2 linked regions of the Anolis sagrei genome follow. The protein of the gene in region 1 interacts with the protein of each later gene in a pairwise test. Links are inferred from orthologs where the notes say so. Each region holds a gene or a part of one and is shown in the gene's direction. Other genes may lie near its edges.

The links.
Region 2: the proteins of FAM161A (region 1) and MIPOL1 interact in binary tests that used the Homo sapiens proteins (3 or more experiments, as listed by UniProt). The two-hybrid records come from large-scale screens. The link is inferred for Anolis sagrei from reciprocal best matches to the Homo sapiens genes FAM161A and MIPOL1.

Annotation. Positions count from the first base shown.
Region 1 is NC_090021.1:151,972,020-151,979,204, reverse strand, and holds the start of FAM161A (protein FAM161A), read left to right. Parts: upstream 1-4,151; 5' UTR 4,152-4,290; coding exon 4,291-4,419; intron 4,420-7,185. Other genes in the region: CCT4 (T-complex protein 1 subunit delta), read left to right, coding at 39-152, 385-399. UniProt on the Homo sapiens protein: Involved in ciliogenesis.
Region 2 is NC_090021.1:302,547,749-302,555,808, forward strand, and holds the start of MIPOL1 (mirror-image polydactyly gene 1 protein), read left to right. Parts: upstream 1-4,982; 5' UTR 4,983-5,113; intron 5,114-8,060.

The DNA of each region.
Region 1 (7,185 bases):
ATTTCTAATAAACTAAAGTGGCAGTTCTTACATTGTAGGGTGGAATTTCCAATATCCTTGAGGAGTTGGTTGTCCAACCGTTGTTGGTATCTGTCAGCGCTCTCACCCTGGCTACAGAAACCGTACGCAGCATCCTGAAGATTGACGATGTGGTAAGCATAGTTTAAATACTCATAAAATGTTCTCTCAAATGTTTACTTTGTTACATTTCACAGATCTGTTACTGCCTTGCATCAGTGTTGAAATGCTGAGTGTTTAATGACAACTGATGAAATAGTTAAGATTCAAAGAGGCATTGTAATTATTAGTGGAAATTATATTGAATAATGTTAAATAAGTAATATAGTGATGAAGTGTCATACAATAATCTCTCATTTTTTGCAGGTAAACACTCGATGAAAGGTCTAAAGGAAAAGAAAGCACAGGTCAGCAACATGTCATACGTTTCTAACATGACGTCTTCACACAAACTGTGTTGGACATCTGCTTAATTCCAAGTTACACTGGCGTACTTTTGTCAATTTAAATTAATAAAACCTCAAATTTGAAAGGCTTTGTTTTAATTTTTTTATATAACAAAATACTTGAACACATATTGCATTGATTGCCAAAAGCTCTGCTTTACACTTTGCTAGACCATGTCTACCTTTAAACTCTACTATTGTGGCTGAAGAGACTTAAGCAATTTCACATCCTTTGAAATTAGTGAGACTTAATTTGTGGGGCTTTATTTATGTCATGTCTTGGGCTGTAACCGTATCTGTCAGCTGTTAACTGTCAGCAATTGGTACTTTTAAATCTAGCATGTATTTCACTGAAGGTATAATTAAATGTTGTATCGTATAAATCTAATAATAGTTTCTAAGAACAGGATTGACACATGTTAAGAACGGTATTCTGAAGAAAATACAAGACATGCAACATTTTTATCCCAAATTGGTAGTTAAAGGCAATGTCTTTTTAATAGTAGGTGTTGGTCACTTCTTGTAACACCTAGAAATTTGGATACAGTGAGGCTGCGAAAAGATTGTCCAAACCCAGTACTGCTGTCTCTGTTCTAAGACGCAAGGTGAAAAAAAGAGGTGTGTGATTATTATGTGGTGGCAACTGTTGCACAGTGAAAAAAGCCCATTTTTTGCAATGGAGACTATTATGTGATGAAATGCGGGTATCTAAATAGTAAGTCACATATCCCAGAGGCACATATAAGGGTTCTTCAAACTTGTGAGGAGAAACGGCATGCACAGATGGTTTTTCAGGACACTTGTGGCTTGTAGCAATATCTGTAAGCAAAACTAAAACGGATTCAGAGTACTAATGGATTATTTGTGAATAGGAAGTAAGTGTAGCTCCAGCCTAAAGATAATGAGGTGCAGATGTTGCTCCTTTGAATTGCAAGAATTATAATGCTAAAATACAGTACAAAGTGACTGTAAGACAGCACACAAATCCCTCATATGGGCTCATGATAACCATACATCCCTGCTCCCCATCCATGCCAGCGGGAGTAAAGGTAGCTGCTCTGCCATGCATATGGATGTATTTCTTAATATACAGGAGTGTAATGGAAGACTCCTCTGGCCACCAAGTCCTGAGAAATGGCTGTAACTCATTTTCCCTACTCAATAAATCTCAATTTTTGAATAGCACAGAATCTTCTCTTACTAAGCTTTGAGACTAGTTACCAACTGCCACCAATTCACAGCTATGTCCCAACATTTCAGATGAAAACCAGGACAGCTGTGACAGCATTTATGGTAACTGAAATCCACAAGCCATTGAAATCCACAAATATGCAGAGGAAACCATGAAAATGAACAAATTCTGGTTACCAGTATTAAAAACACCATAATCAATACAGTAAATAAAGAAACACCACTTGAAAACAGGAGAACTCGACAATTCCTAGTAAGACGTATTCGGTTTCAGTTCTATGGGTTGGCCAATAATCTTTTCCATTGCAATGAGTATCATTTTCCAAAATTTAATTGCCTTTTTACATGACCACCAGAGGTGGAAAAAGGAACCCACCTGAGAATGGCATTTCCAACATTTATCTGACATGTTCTTGTAACATTTGGATAATTTGCTTGGAGTTATGTACCAGCGGTACATCATCTTGTACCACTTCTCGCATAGATCATGGGAGTCTGTGTATTTTAGTGTGATGTTCCATATGCTCTCCCATTCTGATATACATATATTGTGGCCGATGTTTTGTGCCCACCTCACCATGCATTCTTTTATGTTCTTTTTCCGTTGACCAAGCGAGTAATATTTTGTAAATTCTGGAAATTAGTTTGTTTTTAGAGATCAGGTTCTTATCCCATGATTTTTCTTTTTCAAATCCAATTTTCTTGTCTCTGGAATGCCTCTTTTAATTGTCTATACTGGAAAAATTATTTAGCTACTTGACTACGGCTGCGAGAATCACATATGCTAAAAAGTGGAAAGAGAAAGACACACCAAGTATTGAAGGCTGGATAATAAAAGTTACAGAAATTATGAATATGGACTATCTTACACACAACCTTAGAAACAATCAAGGGAAAACAAGAGAAGACTGATTGGACCACAGTCAAGAACTTCATAGAAGAAAGAATCCGATAAGAAAGAATAAAGATACAAGGACAGAAAACAAGGAAAATGATAAGGAAAAATACCATCAACCTACGGGACAGAATATGAAGACTACAAATGCTCCTCCATCCACCAATCCTGCACCCCCCTTTTTTTCTTTCTCTTTACACCTCAACTCATCACTAAGTCACAACCCTTCCCTCTCCCTTTCAGCCCCCCCCCCCCCGTTCCCCTCTTTCTCTTTTTTCTTTCTCTTTCTCCTTTTAAGTGCATTATTTTCAAAACTAATAAAAATATTTTAAAAAAGAAAACAACTCCAGACAGCAAACAACCAAGTGCCCGTTATTACCTCCCAAATGATGCCTCCAGACAACAATACTCTCACTAATTGATTGCAGTTGCAAAGCTATTCAATGCTAATCGAGCTTGCAAACTGCAACAAATAGACAAGGGTTCTTTCTCCCACCCTGGGCATTCCCTACATACACACACACCCATTTGCTTCACTGCCAACAGAACCTCTGAAGATGCCATTAGCCAAAGATGCAGGTGAAACGTCAGGGGAAAATGCTACTGAAACATGGCCATACAGCCTGAAAAACTCACAGCAACCCTGTGATTCCAACCTTTGACAATACATTTATGGTAAAGATGGCAAAGGTTATTGAATGAGGGGAACCCAAGCAAAGAGAGAAGGCAGTTGCCTTTTATTTATTTATTTAGGAAATGTCTATGCCACCTTTCCTCAGGCGGACCCTAGGCAGTTTACATCATCTTAAAAACATCGCAACATAAAACCGTCAGCTAAAACAATAATACAATTTCTGAGTATGCTCTACAGCATAATCCATGCTTCCCTTTTGCTTGGGCAAGAGTTTGCACTCCTCCTGAGTCAAAAGAGGCAAAATAAGGGTTTTTTCCCGACAGGCCCTATATCCCAGAATCTGATCCCAGGTTTTCTGTTTTAAACTGGATTATATGAGTCCGGTGGCGCAGTGGGTTAAAGAACTGAACTGCTGAGCTTGTTGACCAAAAGGTCGCAGGTTCGATTCCAGGGAGCGGCGTGAGCTTCCGCTGTCAGCCCCAGCTTCTGCCAACCTAGCAGTTCGAAAACATGCAAATGTGAGTAGATCAATAGGTACCACTCCGGCGGGAAGGTAACTGCGCTCCATGCAGTCATGCCGGCCATATGACCTTGGAGGTGTCTATGGACAACGCCGGCTCTTCGGCTTAGAAATGGAGATGAGCACCACACCCCAGAGTCAGACATGACTGGACTTAATGTCAGGGGACAACCTTTACCTTTATATGAGTCCACACTGCCAGATAATCTGGGATAAACAGAAAAACCGGGGCCAAATCCTGGGCTATGGGGGCCTACCTGGAAGGCTTTGAACTCATTCTGCAGCAGCTGCAGTAAGATGAAGAAGGAGGGAGGGAAATTGGGAGGAGAGATAAGAAAGTGGGACAACAGAGGATGAATGGGGCCAGCTGGAGGTCAATGTAGTTTAGTTCTGTCAATGGGCGACGTGCGGTTCTTTTCGGCGCGTGCGCACAATTGTCCTGGAGGCCCCGCCCTCAGGAGAGTCCTGTCCGCGCGGCCGTTAGCGAAGGTGTTGTGTTCCCTAAGAGATGCCGTAGCGTCCCAAGCCGGGCGCCTTGGTAACCCAGCGAGGGCTTTCATTCAGTCGCGCGCTCGCGGGGAGCGGGATGGATGCGGGTCACCGGGCCGCTTCCCTCGCTGTGTCCTGCCTCCGAAGGCCGGTGGACCCTCACACCAAGGCCCCCACGGCGCTGTACGAGCGGGAGCGGGAGCGGGGGGACGGAGCCTGGCCGCAGGTGGGTACCTCAAAGCACACCCTCTCAGCCTCAGAGGGAAGCCAGGACAGGCCCACACGTCCTGCCTGACAAGGTCGCCGTGCCCTACTAGAGCTGAAAGACTAGGCCAAGAGCCTGCATCCCACCTGAAATAATTGTATTGATCTTAGGATACTTTCGAGTAGTGGAAATGTGAGCCTATGTCTTGTCGAAGGCTTCCATGGCCAGATTCACTGGGTTATTGTAGGTTTTTTGGGCTATATGGCCAAGTTCTATAAGCACAACCTCTGCGGATGCCTGCCATAGATGCAGGCGAAACATCAGGAGAGAATGCTTCTACAACATGACCATATAGCCCGAAAAGCCTACAACCCAATGTGAGCCTAACTCACAATCCCATAGAGCCCCATTAATCACAGGTCCTGCATCTACTTACACATCTTCACCTGCAGTTTATTCTTTCCAGCTACAGCATATTCTACATTGAATTTCGTTCCTATGCCCCACCTGTCTCAAAGTATCACACTAAAACTCCCAATCTCTGAGGATGCCTGCCATAGATGCAGGCAAAACGTCAGGAGAGAATGCTTCTACAACATGGCCATATAGCCCGAAAAACCTATAACAACCCAGTATCACACTAAAACTGAAAAAGTAAGCAAAGAGTCTGCATCCTATCTGAAATCCTGTGGCTGCCTTCTGAAGGATTTTGAGGCTTGTAGTTTAGGGAGACCCAGTGCCCCTCTGACAGCATTTTAAAGGCCCCTCCCCTGAAGCCTCATTTTTTAATGTCAGGGGCGACTTGAGAAACTGCAAGTCACTTCTGGTGTGACCATCTGCAAGGGTGTTGCCCAGGGGACGCCTGGATGTTTCTGAGGTTTCACCATCCGTGTGGGAGGCTACTCTCATGTCCCCACATGGGGAGCTGGAGCTGACGGAGGGAGCTCATCTGTACTTTCCCTAGATTTGAACCTGCTACCTGTCGGTCTTCAGTCCTGCTGGCACAAGGGTTTAACCCACTGTGCCATCGGGGGCTCCCCTGAAGCACAAGGGCAAAAGGCTACTATACACAAAAAGTAATGCAGTTATATAATCATGAGAATGTACATTAGATCTGTGCTGTAGTACTACAACATTCAATGTACTAACAGCTTGTACAAAGTATACTTAACCGAGATACACAATGCAAATCTCTAAACCAAAAAAATCCTTTATGTGGGATAAACACCTGATTCCTACAGTAAAATGCACAAGTTTATCAGTCCTTTTTGAAAATCACAAGTTTAGAAACAACCAATCAAAGTTTTTAAGTCCTTTCTTTGCAAGTCTCTGAATCAAAAAATTTCCTAATGTGGGATAAACATCTGATTCCTACAGCAGAATGCACAAGTTTATAAGTCATTTTTTAAAACAATGTTTGTCAGCAGCAAATCAAGGTTTGTCAGCCCTTTTTTGAAGTCCACAGTTCATAAACCACAACCAGTTTTGACTATGTGGCGTCTTCCTCAGGTGGTAGTTGATACAAGTGTAGAAATCCTTGAATAGTCAATTTACCACAGTAGAGAGTTCTTCAAGTCAATATATAAATGTCAACAATGACATGGACCTACGGGGAACACATATGAGTCCCCTGAAGCCCCTGATTCAACAGGAAGCAGACACAGGATTTCAGACGGGGTGCAGATTCTTTGCCTACTTTTTCAGCTCTAGTGTGCTATGAGTCTCTGTGAAATAAGCAATAAATCATATATTTTAAACACACACACACACATATAAAAGGAATTTCATGAGATAAGTTGTGTCCCCATACATTTTTATTACAATTTATATATGTGTGTATCTCTTTTAAGAAGTTGCATGATGATGATGATGTTTATTTATACCCCACTTTTTCCTCTCCACAAAGGAGACTCAAAGGAGACCTTGAAAGCGTTTCCGTACATTTTAAAATCCAAAAATATACAAACATTAAAATAGAAATAAACATTAATAGTTTAAATCCTTAAAACAGATAAACATGTATTCAAAACTAAAGCCACAGCAACCCTCTGACCTGATTTTAAAAGCCTTCCTTTTAAAAACCCTGCCCGAATAAAAAAGTTTCAATAAAAAGGTTTAACCTACAGGTTGCTATAAAACTGAATCTCCGTGTCACAAAATGATGCATGTCTCAAAAGTGTGTCACTGATATGAAATGTTTGGAAAGCTCTGCTGTATGATATATATCGCAATGCTACCTAAACAAATAAACGGCAGATCCCATGTAATGCTGCCCCTTCAGCCTTTTTTCCTTAAAAAATCAGACACAGGACATGAAGATGTCCCAGTTCCATAACTGAAGCTTTGCTAGCCTACTTGTACATTTGGCAAGTTAGGAAAACCACACATTTATTCCCTGTTGTACAACTAGGAAAAAGCCTGAGCTTAGAGACCAGAATTCATTTAGCTGCTGATGCTTTTTCTAACCTGATAAGAGCTGTGTGGCCTGGGTTCGTACAGTGTTGATGTACTAGGCACAGTTGATTTAATTGTGATCAAACTGGTTGAAATCGTAATTGAAATTTCCTGAAACACTTAGTTTTAATAATTAAATAAATAATTAAAATCTCTATTAAAATATGTTTACTAGAAGCATGTTACTGTTTAATATAACCATATTTATATTCAGAGTTATAGATTTTACTTGAAATGTAATCAATGCTGAATTGTTTTCCGATTAATTTTTTGTTCATCAAAAAAGGAATCTTCAGCATTAATATTCTGCGTCCATGTCCATGTTCAGATCTC
Region 2 (8,060 bases), about 150 Mb from region 1:
ATAGTCACTGTTGAATGTTTTTATGTTGAATGTTTTTATATTGTGTAAATGCTATTTTAAATTGTAAGTTGCTCAGAGCACCTTGGTGGAGAGCGACTAATTAAGAAATAAAGTGAAGTGAAGTGAAATCTTGAAATTCCCAGATAGGTGTTTTCTTGGGTAAAAAAATAGCAATGTCTTTATTCATGGTTTCTCACTTTCATGTAGTTCATATCACCGATATTATTGAATGTGGAAACATGGGAGATGATACAAGATTCAGCCTCCTGGTGCTCTTATTAAAAGAAGATCATGTTCTTTTTTTAAATGAAGTTGAGCCAGGAGAGTAATTATGAGTCAATGAGCCTCAGTTTTGGATTGGTTTTTGACTGAGGCAGGACTCTTTATGACTGAGAGACATCAAAGTTACTCTAACTTAGTGGTTCTCAACCTTTCTTTGACCAGGGACATTTTGACCAGGGACCACTCTCCAACATTAGTACCCAAAGGGTTACAAATCAGTTTTTGGTCAACTTTAGATTCGGTTTGGTTATTTGGGGTGCTGATTTAGAAAACTGCATTGGATAGATCACACTAGCTCTAGTTTCTGATAGAGAACATATGTCATCCAGTAGTCACCATCTGCTCGCTCACCAAAAACCATATTTAATAAACCTCGGCATTATAAGAGGCTTTCACAAGATCAGCCGCTCTCATTGCAATGTTGTAGTAATGGTGAGGTTGCGGACCATATTTTAGTTCTGGCAGGACCACTGGTGTTCCACGGACCACAGATTGGGAACCACTGATCTAACTTCAACAGGCCTGTTCAGGTCTTGCAGACTCAGACCTATTGCTTCTCTCATTAAGTTTATCCATCTGAAATGTTGTCTTCCTCTTTTCCTACTGCTCTCCACATCTGCAAACATTATACTATGTAATAAAATTGATTTCTTTTCTGTTTCTGGTTTGAAAGTGTTATTTCCTGTTTAATTGTGCAGTAGTTTGAAAGTAGTTGTTATACTCTAGAAGCTTTGTTTTTGTGGCTGCCATAAACTATGTTGAATTGGCTGAGACTATTAGATATTCATTGAAAGTTACAGCAAAACATGCTGCAGGATGTCCCGCAAAGTTTTTGCAGTTTAATAAGCTTTCCCCATGTTTTTATGATAGAACCAAGTGGGAAATGACATTTATAACCCAGGAACAAAAACCGTGTTACATTATCACCGTGTTACATTTTCTTCTTATATGTCCAAAGTACAACAGTCTCCATTTAATCATCTTGGCAGTCTACAGTGTCTGCAGAACTCTTTTCCAGCACTTCACCTCAAATAAGTTGATTTTCTTCCAATTTGCTTTTGTTGTTGTTTTGTTTTGGGGTTTTGTTTTGTTTTGCTGTCCAGCTTTCACAACCATACATAGAAACGGGGCATACAACGACATGGACCATTCTAACTTTAGCATTCATGATATATCTCAACACTTTAGAATCTTGTCTAGTTTTTTCAAAACTGCCCTTCCAAACCTTTGTCATTTTCGGATTTTTTGACCACAATCTCAACTCTGATTAATGATTGAACCAAGTACGGGAAATCTTTAACTTTTTCAATGTCTACTTTAAAGTTATGTAAATCATTCATGGTCATTATATTTTGTTTTCTTAACGTTCAACTGTAAACCCGCTTCTGCACTTTCTACCTTGACTATTCAGTAATCATTCAATGTCTTGGTATTTTGGTGTCACTTGAATATTGTTGGTGCTCCTTCCTCCAATGTTTTTTTTCCCCTCTCAGTCTAATTGGCCCCCAAAACCCACTAAATCAGTGCCCAGTGGTGCCCAGATGTTTTGGCCTTCAACTCCCAGAAATCCTAACTGGTGGTAAATGGCCTGGGATTTCTGGGAGTTGGAGGCCAAAACATCTGAGGACCCACAGGTTGAGAACCACTGCAAATGAATTCAGAGAAGTCACACTCTCTCAACCTCAGAGGAAAGCAAGGGGCTACCGAAATCAAATCCTTTACATAATTTTGGGCCTTCAAGTCATTTCTGATTCATGGTGAACCATATTGGGGTTTCCTTGGCAGAATTTGATCCAAGGAGTATTTGCCCGTACTTCCCTCCAAAGCTGAGAGAGAGTGACTTTCCCAAAGCCACTCAGTATGCTTCCATGGCCAAACAGGACTTCAAACCCCAATCCAACACTCAAGCAACAACACAATTGTGGTGAATGACTTAACAGCGAGGCTTCGGGTTGCTCTGTATGGCAATCAATTTTGGGTTGAGCATCCATTATGCAGAATTTCAAATTCTGAAATAGTCCATGGATTTTTGCTCTGATGGTATAGGGTACACAAATAGTCTCACATACAAAATTATTGATATGGTGTATAAAATTACCTTAAAGCTATTTGCATAGTTATATGGCACATGAATGAATTTCGTGTTTAGCCACAAGTCTCATCCACATATCTTATTCTGTATATGCAAGTACTGTATTCCAAAATCCCCAAAAATCCAAACTATGAACTAATTCTGTTCCCAAGCATTTCAAATAATGGATAGTCAACTTATAATTAGAGAAAGGGCGTAGATATGGCCCTACCATTATAAAGAGCAGGTTTCAATGGGATGGATATGAAATGAGTTTTCAAAAGTTTTTTTCCCTCTCTTCCGCCTAGTTTAAGTAGATGCCAGCTAGGGTTGCATCTGCACTGTAGCAGGGATACAGTTTGGCACTACTTCTAACTGCCATGGCACAATCCTGTGGAAAGTTGTAGTTTGGCAAAGACCAGTACTCATAGACCTTGTAAAACTATAACTCTCAGGATTCTTTAATATTGAGCCTTGGGAGCTAAAGTGGTCTCAAACTCCATAAATGCTCCAGTGGAGACGTACCTTGGATTTTCAAGCTGATTAAAGAGTTAATGGGTTGCTGTGAGTTTTCCGGGCTGCATGGCCATGTTCCAGAAGCATTCTCTCCTGACGTTTCGCCTGCACCTATGGCAGGCATCCTCAGAAGTTGTGAAGTCTCAGAGACACTGACTTCTCAGAGCTTGTGACCTCACTGGGTTGCTGTGAGTTTTCTGGGCTGTATGGCCATGTTCCAGAAGCATTCTCTCCTGACGTTTCGCCTGCACCTATGCAGGCGAAACGTCAGGAGAGAATGCTTCTGGAACATGGCCATACAACCCAGAAAACTCACAGCAACCCAGTGATTCTGGCCATGAAAGTCTTCGACAACATAAGGAGTTAATCCCCTTTACTATGCACCACCTCTTCCTCCTAACTTCTATGAGTTAATCAAACTCCTCCCCCCTTTTCGAACACTCCCAAACAACACTCAGTCTTCGCCCACCAATGAGGTTCTTCTGTCCCGCCTCCATCGTTTGATTGACATCTAGGGCCAGCGACTGGATGACAGTTCCAAGCCTGTTGGTCACGCCTCCTGCGTGAATGTTTGTTGTGCCAGAATGAGCACAGAGTGTGGAAATAGTAGAGCACCAAGAGCCGTTGAGCTTCCGGGTTGCTTATTCATTTCGTCCCAAGGTATACCTATAAGATGACCCTTGAGAAAGCCAGCCTTTCAGCAATGACCGGGCCTAGACTCATCTTAGAAACTAGAGGAAGCTGTAAATATATAAAGGGAAAAGGGAATTTATATGGAAACATTAAAAAGAGTTTTCTAATATGAACACAATAAAGAATACTCAAATATTATGATAGCCAACCAGGCAATGGTAATACTGAGAAGTGGAGATGAGCCCAATCTGCAATGCAGTAGACTCTCAGTTAACTGGCACCCATGGGGCTATGTAGATACCGGATAGGTGTAGTTTCTGGTTGCTTGAGAGCTACTATTAAAAATGGGCCTAGTATAGTATACTTCATACCAGAAATTTTGTATTGATATTAATATTGAAATACAGTAGTTGAAAGCAAATAAAGACAAACTTAATTTAAACTTCCATTTCTACTAAAATTGGTTTAATTTTAATGTATTATTTCTTTGCTTTTGTAGGTTGCTTGAGTTCTGGTTGAGAGTTTCCCGTATAAACAATGGGATGAACTACATCAACCACAAGCCCAAACTGAATCCCAGTTGCATGTCAAACTATATTAACTCTGTATTGTTGAAAGGCTTTCGTGGCCAGAATCACTGGGTTGTGGTAGGTTTTTCGGGCTGTATGGCCATGTTCTAGAAGCATTCTCTCCTGACGTTTCGCCTACAACTGTGGCAGGCATCCTCAAAAGTTGTGAGGTCTGTTGGAAACTAGAACAATTGGGTTTATATATCTGTGGAAAGTCCAGTGTGGGAGAAAGAACTCTTGTCTGTTGGAGCTAGGTGTAATTGTTTCAATTGGCCACCTTGATTAGCATTTGATGGCCTGACGGTTTTTAGGTGTAACTTGTTACTGCCTGGGAAAATCCTTTGTTGAGAGGTGATTAGGTGTTCCTGTTTGTTTCTTGTCTGGAGTTTTGTTCTTTGTTTACTGTTATAATTTTATATTTTATATTAACTCTACAGTGTAACTGCACCCTTGGCCTAACATGCAACCCACACAGAAGATGCATCTACACCAGTGGTTCCCAACCTGGGGTCCCCAGATGTTTTTGGCCTACAATTCCCAGAAATCCTAACAGCTGGTAAACTAGCTTGGATTTCTGGGAGTTGTAGGCCAAAAACATCTGGGGACCCAAGGTTGAGAAGCACTGATCTACACAGTCTGAATTAATGCAGTTTGACACCACTTTAACTGCCAGGTCTCAATGCTATGGGATCCTGGGCGTTGTGGCTTGAGAAGGCTCCAGCAGAGAAGGCAAGATAACTTTTAAAACTACAACTTCTGTGGTTTCATAGCATTGACCCATGGCAGTTAAAGTGGTGTCAAACTGCATTAATGCTATAGTGTAGAGAGGCACCCGTGGGTTCTCGAATGAGGAGTGTCTCCACCCAGCCTTTCCCTCGGGGGAGAGGGGAGGTGTCGCAAGGGCGCCGGAAGTGGACAGCGTAGAGGCGAGTCTACAAATGAATGAAGCTCAGTCGCCCTAGCCCTTTGGGGGTCGCGAGCCCAGCGGTGCCGCTTCCTTCGCCTCACGCGCGCAACCCGGCCGACTGCGCGAGGCAAATAGGTAACTGCAGCCGCCTTTCTAACGGGACGGAATTCCTTTTGGGAGGGGTAGGAGGAGGGGGAAAAGAACTGCAACACGCATGCGCACGGAGTGGCTAGGAAGTTCCCTCTTAAGCATTCATTACCAGGGCAATCTCTGATTTCCTCTCCTCTGGTAGAATGAATGCAGTTTGATACCAAGTCAAGGGCCATGGCTCAATGCTATGGAATCTGTAGTTGTGCAAGGGCTTCAGCCTCCCCTGGTGCCTTGGCAAAACTACAACTCCCAGGGCTCCTTAGCTTTGACCCATGACGGTTCAAAGTAGTGCCAAACTGCATTCATTCTACAACAGGCATGGGCAAACTTTGGCTAAGCAGATGAGGGGCAAAAAGAAAGGGCCTGAGGCTGTTAGGAATTGTGGGAGTTGTAGTCCAAAACAACTGGAGGGGCGAAGTTTGCCCATGCCTGTTCTACAGTGTAAGCTGAGTGTTTGGGGACTGTGGAGGGGTTTGGGAAGCATCAGAAGAGGATAATAAAAGGTGTTCCCGCTTGCACTGCCTTCCATGTATTAGGGCACCTTTGAGATTAACTGTTGAATGAATGCATTTTGATACTATTTTAACTCAATTCCATAACTCAAGGCTATGGAATCCTTAGAGTTGTAATCCTACAAGGCCATTAGTCTTCTCTACCAAAGGATGACCACAAACCCAGAATTCTGTAACACAGAGCCATGTGGTGTCAAACTGTGTTAATTCTACAGTGGAGATGCACTCAAGGAAAACATTGCTAGGGAGGAGGCACGACATTCCAAAGCAGAGTCCATTGGTCACCTCTGGACCCCACTACCAAAAGGTGCTGGTGCTCTTAACAGCATTGATATAATGTTATATTCTTATGAGTTGCAACCCCAGTATATTCCTCTTTTGACTTTTCTTTTTGTGCTGTTTTGAATTTGAATATAGAGTGCAATTGCAAAACATTTCCAGGTGGTAGGCATTAACTCTGATCAGATTTAGAGAAGAGGATCAAAAGCAAGGCCTCCTGAAAACAGGGAAGGTTGTAATCCTATGCACGCTAATATGAAAGTAAACTATTAAATTTAGTGGGGCAAACTGTCAAATAGATATGTATGGTGGCCAGTTACTATAAGTTTGTATTTATGTGTTTGTTTACTGTTTGGTTTGATTTGTTTTGTTTCTATTGTTTATTGTGGTATTAAATGTTTTCCATCCTTTTTGGGAAATTGCCCTGAGGATCCCCTCCCCCGGGAGATAGGACAGGTTATAAATAAAGTTTTATTATTATATTATAGTATATTATTATTATTATTATTAGTAGTAGTAGTAAAGGTAAAAGTTTCCCCTGACATTAAGTCCAGTCATGCCCGACTCTGGGGGGTGGTGCTCATCTCCATTTCTAAGCCGAAGAGCCAGCACTGTCCATAGACACCTCCAAGGCCATGTAGCTAGTATGACTACATGGAGCACTGTTACCTTCCCGCAAAAGTGGTTCCCATTGATCTACTCACTTTGCATGTTTTCAAACTGCTAGGTTGGGAGAAAGTGGGCCTAACAACGGGAGCTCACCCTGCTCCCCGAATTTGATTTGCCAACCTTTCGGTCAGCAAGATCAGCAGCTCAGAGGTGTAACCCGCTGCACCAGTGGGGGGGGGGCATTATTATTATAGTGCAAGACAAATGGAAAAGGATGGAAGACAGAAGATCTGCCAGAATCCTTTATTTTTATAACATATAGGACAAACATGCTACTAAGTTGTCACAACCTAATTGGTTCTGACTCCTAGTCTTTTTAAATATTACTATTAAATTGGTTCTGACTTCTAGTCTTTTTTAATATTATTGTATTATTACTGGGAGGTGGTGCTCATCTCCATTTCTAAGCCAAAGAGCCAGTGTTGTCCGTAGACACCTCCACGGCCGGCATGACTGCCTGGAGCATCGTTACCTTCCTGCAGAAGTGGTACCTATTGATCTACTCACATTTGCATGTTCTCGAACTGCTAGGTTGACAAAAGCTGGGCCTAACAGCGAGAGCCTACCCTGCTCCCTGGATTCAAACTTCCAACCTTTCAGTCAGCAAGTTCAGCAGCTCAGCGGTTTAACCCGCTGTGCTACCAGGAGGCCCATTATTATTATAGTGCAAGAGAAATAGAAAGGGATAGCAGACAAAAGATCTGCCAGTAGCCTTTATTTTTTTAACATATAAGACAAACATGCTACTAAGTTGTCACAACCTCATTGGTTCTGACTTCTGGTCTCTTAAATATTTTTATTATTTATTTGTGGCCACCTCTCCTGAAGGCAGGGTACAGTACAGCTAAAGTACATTACCATATAGGACTGAGTGATAAAAGGTTGGAAATTTCAAATCTAATAATAATATTTGTGACTACCAAACTAAAGTAAGATATTTGACTTTTCTCTTTTCCATGCCTCCTTCTGAATTACTTTGTAAATAAGCCAAGTTTTGTTGTGAGTATATGTAAATCTATGAATAAGAGAGAGAAAGATTGTGTTTCTCTCTTAGCTCCCCTAAAAATAAGTTTTAGGGTGACACTGTTTTTTTTAAAAAAAACTTTAGCCGAGACCCAGTCTATCGATCTTTGTCACTGCTGGCTTTGGGATATAATCATAACATTCAGTGCTGCTGGACCTTTTCAGATATCCCAGGATTTGCATTCTGTGGCCCTATCTACACTGACCATTTAATGCAGTTTCAAAATAGCATTTAAGAATGCTCTTCTGCTGTGCAAATGATACCATGGAACCAGTTTGAGGGTCAGATGATAATTACCCAAATAACAGAGCACTGGGGTGCATTGAGGGCTTTCTTTCTTTTGTGAGAGTTTATTATTTGGTCGCCACATTTTGAACTTAGCTTCAAACTGCATTAAATGGCTAGTGTAGATGGAACCCCAGTACTACTACTCACAACGAGCAGAAAA